3 linked regions of the Ovis aries genome follow. The protein of the gene in region 1 interacts with the protein of each later gene in a biochemical or structural test. Links are inferred from orthologs where the notes say so. Each region holds a gene or a part of one and is shown in the gene's direction. Other genes may lie near its edges. The genes, in order: MIS18A, OIP5 and MIS18BP1.

The links.
Region 2: the proteins of MIS18A (region 1) and OIP5 form a complex in vitro, tested with the Homo sapiens proteins (3 studies listed by BioGRID). The link is inferred for Ovis aries from reciprocal best matches to the Homo sapiens genes MIS18A and OIP5.
Region 3: the proteins of MIS18A (region 1) and MIS18BP1 form a complex in vitro, tested with the Homo sapiens proteins (2 studies listed by BioGRID). The link is inferred for Ovis aries from reciprocal best matches to the Homo sapiens genes MIS18A and MIS18BP1.

Annotation. Positions count from the first base shown.
Region 1 is NC_056054.1:123,908,554-123,912,205, forward strand, and holds part of MIS18A (protein Mis18-alpha), read left to right. Parts: intron 1-462; coding exon 463-585; intron 586-2,247; coding exon of another isoform or gene 2,248-2,311; exon of another isoform or gene 2,312-3,210; intron 3,211-3,228; coding exon 3,229-3,325; intron 3,326-3,652. UniProt on the Homo sapiens protein: Required for recruitment of CENPA to centromeres and normal chromosome segregation during mitosis.
Region 2 is NC_056060.1:34,994,426-34,998,610, reverse strand, and holds the start of OIP5 (protein Mis18-beta), read left to right. Parts: upstream 1-1,262; 5' UTR 1,263-1,270; coding exon 1,271-1,592; intron 1,593-1,808; coding exon 1,809-1,875; intron 1,876-4,185. Other genes in the region: NUSAP1 (nucleolar and spindle-associated protein 1), read right to left, coding at 802-894. UniProt on the Homo sapiens protein: Required for recruitment of CENPA to centromeres and normal chromosome segregation during mitosis.
Region 3 is NC_056071.1:52,777,583-52,781,234, reverse strand, and holds part of MIS18BP1 (mis18-binding protein 1), read left to right. Parts: intron 1-1,091; exon of another isoform or gene 1,092-1,441; coding exon of another isoform or gene 1,442-1,454; intron 1,455-2,764; coding exon 2,765-2,884; intron 2,885-3,054; coding exon 3,055-3,521; intron 3,522-3,652. UniProt on the Homo sapiens protein: Required for recruitment of CENPA to centromeres and normal chromosome segregation during mitosis.

The DNA of each region.
Region 1 (3,652 bases):
GCTTTCTCTAGTTCTGGCGAGCTGGGACTGCTCTGTAGCTGGCGGTGTTCGAGCTTCTCATTGCGGTGGCTTGTTGTGGAGCATGGGCCCTAGGAGCTCGGGCTTTAGCACAGGCTTAGTTGCTCCACGGCATGTGGAATCTTCCTGGGCTAGGGATCGAACCCTTGTCCCCTGCATTGGCAGGTGGATTCTTATCCATTGTACCACCAAGGAAATCCAGCATACTCTCTGCTTTGTCACTTGTGTGCATGCTGTCTGTCACTGGATACTGAAGGCAGTGTGACCTGGAAGTGCTTTCAAATGTAAGCATCTTACTATCTTTTTTTTTTTCCTTTTTATACATAGGACCTAGTAGGGTCAGGGTAACATACTTCAGCAACTTAAACGTTTAGGTGTTTACAGATCTCAACAACGGGGTGTTTGTGGTAACCAGTCACTAAAGGGCGACGTTTCTTGTTGCAGCATCCTGCAGACTTTGTACTGCACAGGTTGTTCGCTCAGCCTCGGCTACCTGTACAGGTGCACACCCAAGGATCTAGACTACAAGAGGGACATGTTCTGCCTTAGTGTTGAAGCCATTGAAAGGTATGTTTGAGGCATACATGAATAGCTCATCGCTGAATTCTCAGAAAGTTGTTTGCAGACAAATTGGTATGAAAATTTGGAGACTAAACATTGTTTGGTTAAAATATGTTTTTAAATAATAATTTCTGACCCTAAAGCAAGTGATTTTTGTTGTTGTTTGGACCTGATTTATTTGCTATTGGAAAAGTCTGTTATGCTAAATTGTAAAAGAAAGCCCTGTGAGAACATTTTGTAGAGTAAAAATTTGCTGTTTTTCTTAATTAAATTTAGTTTAGTAGGATTTTTTTTAAAGCAATTATGTGTATCAATATATTTTGTCCATTTTATTTTTTCCTCTAGTTTTTAGTCTAGTATAATAACTTGAAAAAATAGGAATTTCAGAAATGGTTGGGAAAGAAGTCCCTTTGTTCTGGAAAAGTAGAAATGCAAAGTCCAGCTATTTCCTAGAGGACTGTAAATAACTGCCTGCTGTTTTGAGAGATGCAAGGAAGTACCTTCATTTTTCAAGACTTCTAAAAGGTGTTTGGCGAGAACGTGAATTAGGGTCTGATGACATATATCTTACTGACCCTTTAGTTCATTAACCTTTTAAAATTGGAAACAAAATTAATTGACCCCAATGTCTTTTCACTTATCCTGGAAATGATGTAACTCTCAAGACTTTAGAGATTGTTGTTTAGTAGCTCAGTCGTGTCCAACTCTTTATTAGCTCATAAACTGTAGCCTTCCAGGCTCTTTTGTCCATGAGATTCTCCAAGCAAGAATACTGGAGTGGGTTGCCATTTCCTTCTCCAGGGGATCTTCCTGACCCAGGGATCGAACCCGTATCTCCTGCATTGGTGGGTGGGTTCTTACCGCTGAGCCACCAGTTAGGTTTTCTTAGAGATGCCTAGGAAACCTTAAATATCAAGAAAGAAGGACAAAAGTGCCTACACTTTCATTACTTGAAGTATGTTGTCACTTTGTTGAATTTCTTAGATTTTCTCTTTAAAAAAATTTAGAATAGTGTTCTTTTTATTATAATTTTTCATTTAATTATTTTTTGATTACTACAGTTTTACCACCATCTTTGAAACTAGACAAGTTTGGATCAAAATTGTGAAATCTGCAAACTTTTTACAGCCTTTAACACAAGAGAATAATGTAGCAAGTACTGCTCATTGATGTAAAGCATGCAGGCCCACCTGGGGAGAGATCAGATCTGATTTGGTTTTAATATGTAAATAGAAGACTCATGCCCAAACAACTGCTCCCTTAATCTCCATGGGAATTTTACCAAGACTTGTGGAAATTATGTGGGGGAGAGGACAAGTATGAACGACATAAAATCTTAAACAAGTATGGTTGGCACAGAACTTTAAAAACGATCCATGTCTGTATTTCTGCACAGAGGATCCTAGTATCGAAGCTGTTCTTTCCCCAATAGTTGAATTTAAGGAAAAGTTACCTCATAGGGCAGAATTTAAATGACAGGGAACCAGGTGTGTTTTAGAAATGGATGCTGTCCGTAATGTTTATTTACAGCATTATAAATTAATCAGTGCCATTTAATTTTCCCCATCTCATTTTTCTTTTCTAAATAAGATATTAACTGCCTTCTGTAATTTTTCCTTTGATGACATTTTTTAGAAATTTAATCAATTAATCTTGGGTTTCCAACAGAAGACTGTTTATATTTAACAGAAGTGACGTACTGAAGTTGTTACACGTGGTGAAAGACTTCTAAAGAAATACAAACGAATGAAGGTTTTTATGTTTTGTTTTTTTCTTGAGAAATAACAGCACCTTCTCCACTGTTGAGATTTATTTGGTTGCCAGAGCTGGGCTTGTTTTCTTCCATTGCTAGGCCAGTTATATTTTCAAATTGTAGCATGTCATCTGGAGAAGGTGATGGCACCCCACTCCAGGACTCTTGCCTGGAAAATCCCATGGATGGAGGAGCCTGGTGGGCTGCAGTCCATGGGGTTGCTAAGAGTCGGACACGACTTCACGACTTCACTTTCATTTTCAGTTTCATGCATTGGAGAAGGAAATGGCAACCCACTCCAGTGTTCGTGCCTGGAGAATCCCAGGGACGGGGGAGCGTGGTAGGCTGCCGTCTGTGGGGTCTCACAGAGTCAGACATGACTGAAGCGACTTTGCAGCAGCAGCAGCATGTCATCACCTCAGAGAGCAGAGCAAAACATGAGTTATAAAATAACTGTTGAAGTTGCCGAAATCTAGGTAATCAACAATTGATGCTACAGATTACATACTAAAAGTCAAAACTTGAAAATACACAAAAACTTGAAAATGCACATGTTCTTGAAAAGTTACATAAAACAGTGGCTTCTTCAGGATCTTTTAAAACTTCAAAATGTTACTGTTGTACCACCCAGCTTACTAAAGAGCCAGTTTTATTCCCAATAATGAAATATAGCATTGAGAAATATGTAGAGTTCTTGGACAAAGCTGTTATGGAGAATAACATGATTTCATGTAGTTCAGCTTCCTATGTAGGTTTCTATTAACAAAAGTAATTGTTTTATGTGTTTACTCGGTACTAATATATACTTCAATATACTTTGAGTTTTAATGTTATCAATATAAACTTTATATTTACTCCCTTCTCATATTTTAACTTTGTATTGTACTGTACTTCAGTTATGTTTTAGGGTCATCTGAAAAGCAAATTGTGTCAGAAGACAAAGAGCTTTTTAATCTTGAAAGTAGAGTTGAAATAGAAAAATCTCTAAAGGAGGTAATTTTGTTCTGCACTTTTTGTATCTTTGTATAAACAACTTCCAGTCAATGACCAAGTGCTGCTCCATGAATAATTCTTAATTGTGTCTTCTCTTTTGATCTTAGCATTCATGGTGAGAGAGTGCTTATTTTATTTCAGTTGTTAGTAAAGTTGATTTACTGGGAACCAAACTACAAATTAAGCCAAAACTTTATGGAAAAAATTATAAAGACGTTCCATGCTAAATCAAAGCAGTATGTATTCTAAAACTATTAAAATAGAAATATATCTTTAAATCAGTATTTGATTTAATTTTCATGGTGAAAACAGCCTTGTTTTTGAATG
Region 2 (4,185 bases), on another chromosome or scaffold:
TATTTTAATTAATTTAACTACTTAAAATATCTGTGAGGACTGATCTAAACATTCACTCAGTTTAAACACTACAGCTTGCAGAATAAATCTCCAGAATATACTTTAATATTATGTGGGAAAACTCCACTAAATATACAGAACAATATATACATCCAATCCAGAATTGAACATTTTCCCCCAAACGTTTCGCAGTATCAGAGTCAAAGACCTCATCGGTTTTGAATAGAACACTACCACAACAATGACCAATAGACGAACGATCCTACTGAATCAGAGCTAACTTAATAAAAACTTATCCACGGGGGAGGTTCCCTAAAAATCATCCTTTCTTCCGTCCTCCATTCAAGTAGCAGGAAATTTTGGGACCTCTTACAATTAACAGAACTGTTAGCTGTTTGGAGTTTTCCAGAAGCAAAGGCAATTTAACAAAAGTGTGAGCTGTTTGGAGTTTTTCGCGACCGCCTATTAATTGGCGTTTAGATGCAGCATTCCTTTAGTTTTCTAAAGGGCCTGCCTTTCCTAACAGATGGACTGATAAATAGCAGAGTACTCCCAATAAAACCAAAGCAAACAATTTTGGAGGCGGGCATCTTTCTGAGTCCCTGTAAGAGTCAGCCTCAACAAAGGTGAAAACTTTGACACCCTCTCGGTTTTGCACAGTTACTTGGACCCTTGGGTAAACCAAAATCTACCGCCCCAAGGCCGGGACAGTCGCCTCAGCCCTCGAAATTCCCGCTCGGTCCCCTCCCACAGCGTCTCAAAGAAGCCGCATATCCTATCCCCCAGTCACCGGCCCCGTACCCTCAGGTTAGCCCGGAGGCCCAGGTTCTTGGCCAAGTTCTGCAGGTCACTGTACTTGAAGGAGTTCAGCTCCTCCAGGGAGGGAACGATCATGGCGAACTGCAATCCAGGTAACGACGCGGAGGCCCGATACTTAACTTGCTAAGGCGCCGCTCAACGCTCTGGCGCCACTCAAAGCGTTGAGCAAACCGGTATTTATAGAGAGTTTAAATTACGTAAGCTGCACTTCCATTGGTTACAAATCCGTTAAAGGCGGGGTCTTCTGGTACTGACCAATAGGATGGTTGACTTCCCTTCCACCTGACCCACGATCTTCTCCACACTGCCCTAACACCTAGGCGCCAAACGGCGTGTCCAGGCAACAAAGTGCGCGGCAGAGCCCCCGTTCACGTTGTCCAATGAGGACGCAGGAGCCAACTTGGGGTGGGGCCTAAATAGTCTTTGAAACGGTGGCGCCGGCTGCGGGAAGATGGCTGCTCGGCCGCGGAGGCATGTTTCTCGGATTGCAAAGCAGCCACGGGGTGACTTCTGTGATGGGACTAAGAAAGCGATTAATGAACCTTCTTTTGCGACTTCCATGGAGTGGGACACGCAGGTGGTGAAAGGGTCTTCGTCGGTCGGCCCCGCAGGGCTGGGGTTGGAGGAGCTGCCGTTCCGCCCGCGGCTGCCGCGATGGCTGCAGCCCGAGAGGTGCGCGGTGTTCCAGTGCGCGCAGTGCCACGCCGTGCTCGCTGACTCTGTGCATCTCGCCTGGGACCTCTCGCGGTCCCTCGGGGCCGTGGTCTTCTCCAGTGAGTGAGCGCGGCGCCTTCTCACTGGGTGACTGAGAGCAGCTGGGAGGAAAGCAGGATGAAAATTTGGAAGGAACTTAACTCCTTTGCTGGGGGGTTGGGGGGGGCGAATAACTTTTTACGATATTCGTGACCATGATGAGCTTTTCTGACTGAGAGAGGTTTTCCCTTTCAGTGCCTCACAGGTAGTCATTCTGACCTGTGTTTGCCTTTTAGGAGTCACAAATAATGTCGTTTTGGAGCCTCAGTTCCAAGTTGGCGTTGAAGGTTCGCTCAAAGGCAGGTACGTACTGAAAATTCCAGAACTGTCTCTAGTTATTCCCTGACTTATTGTGGTTGAAGAGCGTGGAACCGACTTGGACCAGAAGTTTTTTCCTATCTTCCACTAGGAGAAATGTCTGTTTCGTTCATACAGTGTACTTGAAGAATGCTCCGTTTACCTGATTGTCTTGTACGAACTTGATGTTTTAATGAAATGGCAAAGATACTTGTGTAAAGGTTTTAAGATCTTCTGAGGGCCACATTTCCCTCGTGGGTTGTGCAAGTGAAGTGAATTTAAGAAAATTAGGAGGGGAAAAAGGGAGAAAATTACCTTTAAGTGAATCACTTTTTATAAACTGCAATACTTTGACATAATAGGACATATACACTTGCATTACACCTGGAATTTGTAATAAACTACAGCGGGACTAATTCTGCTGTAACCTAGGAACCTGGAGAAAAACACAGGTTGAAAGTTAGGTCCTTGAATACTGCCTGGTGAACTTTGCATCGTATCTGTACTGTGATTTAGAAGTGACAACAAAGTACTCAGTGAATTCAGTACAGAGCTCCTCAATTTTCAGTGTTGATTTTAACAGCAAGACAATTCATTTTGACCATTGGTTGGTCCAGTTTTAGTGTTAAATAGAGTACGTTTAGGAATTCTTAGTTGCTGTACTCAGTAACCAGGAAGACTTCTGTAGCTCCTCTTTCCCAGCTGAAAGATTCCTTATCCTTCCAGGAGTGTCTACACACCCAAAGGAAACTGGGAAAGAGTGGTGGCCTGCTTGGAACTGGTTCATTTGGGGCCCGAGGCAGAAGCTCTTTGAATATCTTCTTAGAGAGAAGTACATCTAGCTAGATCTGTGCTGTCCAGTACTGTCACTTGTCACATGGTGGCTACTGAGCACTAAAAACGGTGGCCATTCTGAACTGAAATATGCTGAGTGCAAAATACACGTAAGATTTTGAAAATAGTCAAAAACATTGAATAATTTAGAAATATTGATTACATGGGTTTTGCTGTTGTTGATGTCGTTTTTTTGTTTGTTTTTGGCCCCACTGTACAGCTTGTGGGGTCTGAATTCCCAGACCAGGGAGCACATCTGGCCAGGGCAGTGAAAGTGCCCAATCTTAACCACTGGACCCCCAGGGAATTCCCTTGATTACATGTTGAAATGATGTCTTTGAATATTGGGTCACATAAAATATATTAAAACTAATTTCACTTGTTACTTTTACCCTTTTTTTTTAAACAAGACTAATAGAAGATATGAAACTACTTACATGGCTTGCATTCTTATAGAAAGTACAGATCTAGATGGCTTTTAAAACACTGGAGAGAAAGTTCGATGTATTTACGTTTTTGAAATAAGGAGAGCCATGGGATTCAGCAAGAAGAGATTTATTGTCAGGAATTGGTTCACTCGATTATGGAGGGTGAGAAGTTCCAAGAGCCATGGTTGACAAGCTGGAGACACAGGAAGGCCAAAGGTTTAGTTCTAGTCCAAGTCCACAGGCCTGAGACCCATGAGCCAAAGGTGCGACTTCCAAAAACACAGTATTGCGTGTGTAGTGTGGGACTTCATCTACCAATAAGTTTAGTGCGTTTGTTCCTTGGTCCTGTTTAGTGTCCATTGACATGAATTTGTTTATTTTTAGCCATGCAGTTATACTTTATTAGTACTGTTTTACTGCATAGTATATTATGTTTATACAAATAATTTTTCCCTCATTGAACCACTCTAAATCGCTTTTAGTACATGCACGACAGTTAATTTTTTCTTACAACATTTCTTTGTAATATTTAGATTTGTCTTATATACTAGCAAATAAGGTCAATCAGTTACTCAAATGGTTTAAATAGAACTAAAACCACATTTCTTTTAGAGGATAAAGGAAAATAAAGTAGATGACTTGCTAGGATCATAAAATTTCTTTCTTTTTCATTTTGTCTGGGAAATTGTTTTTGGTTACATCTGCAAAAAAATCCTGATTTGCATTCTATTAATAAATTGCTTAATAAGCCCTAGTCAACTTGATTGTTTTACTTCAACTGCAAATTGGCTTAATGGTGGCTAATTTATATGGTTATGTGTAGTTTTATATGTTTAAATGTTAATCTGATTAGTTAGCTCTTTTTCTGCTTTTCAGATATAAATTACTTTTGCAAAGTGACAGTTGTGTATCCATGATTGCTTTTGTAGCCAGAATTCACAAAGTTATCTGTAATCCAGTGTTCTTGCCTGGAGAATCCCAGGGACAGGAGAGCCTGGTGGGCTGCCTTCTGTGGGGTCACACAGAGTCAGACACTACTGAAGTGACTTAGCAG
Region 3 (3,652 bases), on another chromosome or scaffold:
GGAGTGAGTGGGCAGCTGGGGAGCAGGGGATAAATAAGGAGAGGGTCAGATAAAGTGTCTTTTAGGAGGGTCCTATAAGGGCCTCATAGGTAAAATAAGGGTTTGGGTTTTTATTGTGAGCAAATTAAGGAGCCACTAGAGGGTTTTGAGCAGAGGAATGTCGCAGTCTGACTTAAATTTTAAAAGTATCACTCTAGCTGTTAATTTGAAATAGTTATTTTAGTATTCCAGGTGAGAGATGGCATTGGCTTGGTCGGGTGGTAGCAGTGGAGATGATAAAGAGTTGCTGGATTCCAGATAGATTTTGGTTTTGGCAAGGGTGGGGGTTGGGGAGGGGGGTTGTTAATTTGTTTTAATATTTTATTTATTTATTTGGCTGCACAGGGTCTTAATTGTGGCACATGTGATCTTTTAGTTTTGGCATGTGGGATCTAGTTCCCTAAGCAGGGATCAAACCCAGGCCCCCTGCGTTGGGAGTTCATGGAATCTTAGCCACTGGACCACCAAGGAAGTCCCTCCAGATATATGTTGAGATGGGAGTGTGGAATATAAGAGAGGTATAAAGGATGACCTGGGTGATTTGTTTGGTTTGGGTTTTTTTTTTTTGCTCAAGCAACTGGAAGAATGGAGCAGTTTAACTGAGGTGGAGCAGACAGAGGTGGAATAGTTTTGAGGACTCAGTAATTATGTTTCTTGTCATATCAATTTTGATATGTCTGTTAAATACTGAAGTGTAGATGTGAATTAGGCTGTTGAAAAAAATTAGCTGGAATTTAGGGAAGTGGCCTACCTGAGAAATACATTTGGAGTCATTAGCACCTAAATGGTATTTAAAGCTATAAGATTAGATGGGATCATCAAGAAGTAAGTATATTATACTTGAAAAAACTGTGTATGTTGAAATGTTTTCAAAGAAAACGTTTAAGGATAAGTTCTGGGGCACCCTGAAATTTAGAAGTTAGAATAAAGAGCAGAAAGTAGTGAAAGCCACTGAGACGATGAGGAAGAAAAACCAAAACGGTAACTTCAGAAGCCAGTAATTGATAAAAGATACTTTACATGCATTATCTCATTTGCTCCTTTCAGCAAACACTATGGATTTATGCTCATTTAATTGTCTAGGAAATGGAGCTTTTAAATAAATTGACGTCTGCTCTGTGTCAATGGCATTCCACTCCAGTACTCTTGCCTGGAAAATCCCATGGACGGAGGAGCCTGGTAGCCTGCAGTCCATGGGATCGCGAAGAGTTGGACATGACTGAGCGACTTCACTTTCACGTTTCACTTTCATGCATTGGAGAAGGAAATGGCAACCCACTCCAGCGTTCTTGCCTGGAGAATCCCAGGGACAGGGGAGCCGGATGGGCTGCCGTCTATGGGGTCGCACAGAGTCAGACGACTGAAGTGACTTAGCAGCAGCAGCAGCCGTAGCAGCAGCACCATGGGTCTCACAGGTAGTAAGTAAGTGATAAGCTGAGAATTAAATACACATATCTATTAGAAAGCTCATGCTCTTAACTGCTACATAATAGATTGTGGGTATATTGTTGTATTTCAAAGACAGTGATGTATTTTGACACAAAAGTGGTTTTCTAAGGGAGTTTAGGATGGAGGTAGGTGAATATACAAATAATCTCATACAGTCTAAGAGAAAAGGGGGAAGCAAGAGAAATAAGGTACATTATGGCATGTTTTATATGTAAACTGGGATTAGAGAAAGGAAGAAACAACTGACTGCTTTAAGAATCTGCTGACTTCCTAGAAAATACACATATATACAAACACAGATTTTGTATGTAATTTCAGAGATCTTTTGGAGAGTCCCTACATGGATCCCTGAATTGAAATAAATGGCCTGTGTTCTGTACCATGTTGTATATGATTGAATTATCTACTCATCTGTACTACATTGCTCTGCCATTTCTAGTAGAATGATTTAAAGAAATAGAAACTTACCTTATATGACATATCATTATAATAAAATCTTTATATTGAGGTTTGTAAGGCCAAAGCAACATACATATTAAAGTATAATCACTACCAGTTTTTTCAAGTATAATATTTGAAATTAAACATATAAAATAATTCAGTTTTTCCTTCTCTGGTACAAATTTTAAGTTTATTACCTTCCCCTTTTTATGTGAAAGAAACTCATTTCTATATTCAAGATACAGAACTTTAACCATCTAGGATGTAAAGCAGAATAAAATATAAACAATGCAATTAGTTCCTGTTTGTCTAGTGATTAAGCCTACCAAATTTGTGTCTTTGAAGACCTGCTAAAGGGATGTCAAAGCAGTATAAATTATGACTTAGTCTGCTACTGAATCTCAACATTTTGATTTTTAAATCTGTTACAACTGTTCGTCCACATTTTAGAAATTTCCAGAACCAGAAGCAAAATCAGAATTTTCAAGACAGGATGGCGCTTGATATATGACCTTGACATATACATATCTGATTTGTGGCAGCACTAGAATTTTATTCTAGATCTCTAGGTGTCTAAGTCCAGTAGTATACTTGTGTCTAGAGCTGGCAGGTAATGCGGAGAAATTTTTAAAAAATTCTTTCTCAGCATAATACAGGTATAGAGAATGCATTGAAGATATGAGATAATAATAAAGGGCAAAAACTCAATGTAACTGTCATGTATTTAAGTATACTCTGTGGGTCTGATCATTACCAAATTTAAATCTTTATTCCAAGAGTTTTAAAGGCATTTTTTTCTCTTATTGACTAATACAACTTCTTTCTTTAAAAAAAGAAAACTCAACCTCAGTCCAAGAAGTTCCTCTGGAATCATCAAATAATATTTTTGTGCCAGTCAAGCAAAAGATTACATATCAGCAGGAAAAGAAGGTGCCTCTGCACAATTTAACTTATGGTAAAGTGCTTTTTGTTTTGTTTTTAGTTTGTTATTTGAATGTATGGTTAAATGTTCTAGATAATTATTTTCCCTGTATAGGCAATTCAAAGTTTTAAATTTTTCTCTTGTTCTCTTTTCATTTCGTATTAACCATCTGTAAATTTTGTTTGGTTTTGTATTTTTTGCAGAGCTTCCAGTTCTGAATCAAGAACGTAAAAATGTTGCAGCTGCAAACAGGGTACTAACTAGAGCTCAGCTGGCTAGACAAATTCTTCACTCAAAGGAGAATATAGTTGCAACCAATAAATCCCAAAAGGAAACATTTATTTTAGAAGACATTGATTCTACCCGTGAAAAGTCCCCAAATACCACTGTTGAGACTCTTTGTGGTAATAATGTTGAGAATGGTGGTCAATTACTGGTTTCTAGTGATAGTAAGATTACAACAGAAGGCACTTCAAAACAGGAAATTAAGGAAGGAAATGAGAGAACAGTGCACAGAGAGACTGCTTTTCCAGGTTCCTTGAATGATACTTGTAAAATCGTGCTTGCAACTCCGCAATGTCATATAACAATACCTCAGAGATCAAAAATAAATGCCTGGAACCTTTCTCCAAGTATAAGCCAAACTATTACAAATGGAGTTAAAATTAAGGTAGGAAAACTTTTAAGGCAGATAAATACTTGTTTTCACCCTCATTCTTAAAGTGCATAAGCTCTTTTGCTCTCATTAACAGGTTCATTTTGGGTTTTTGTTAATATTTAGTGTAGAGGCAGTGTGGCCTA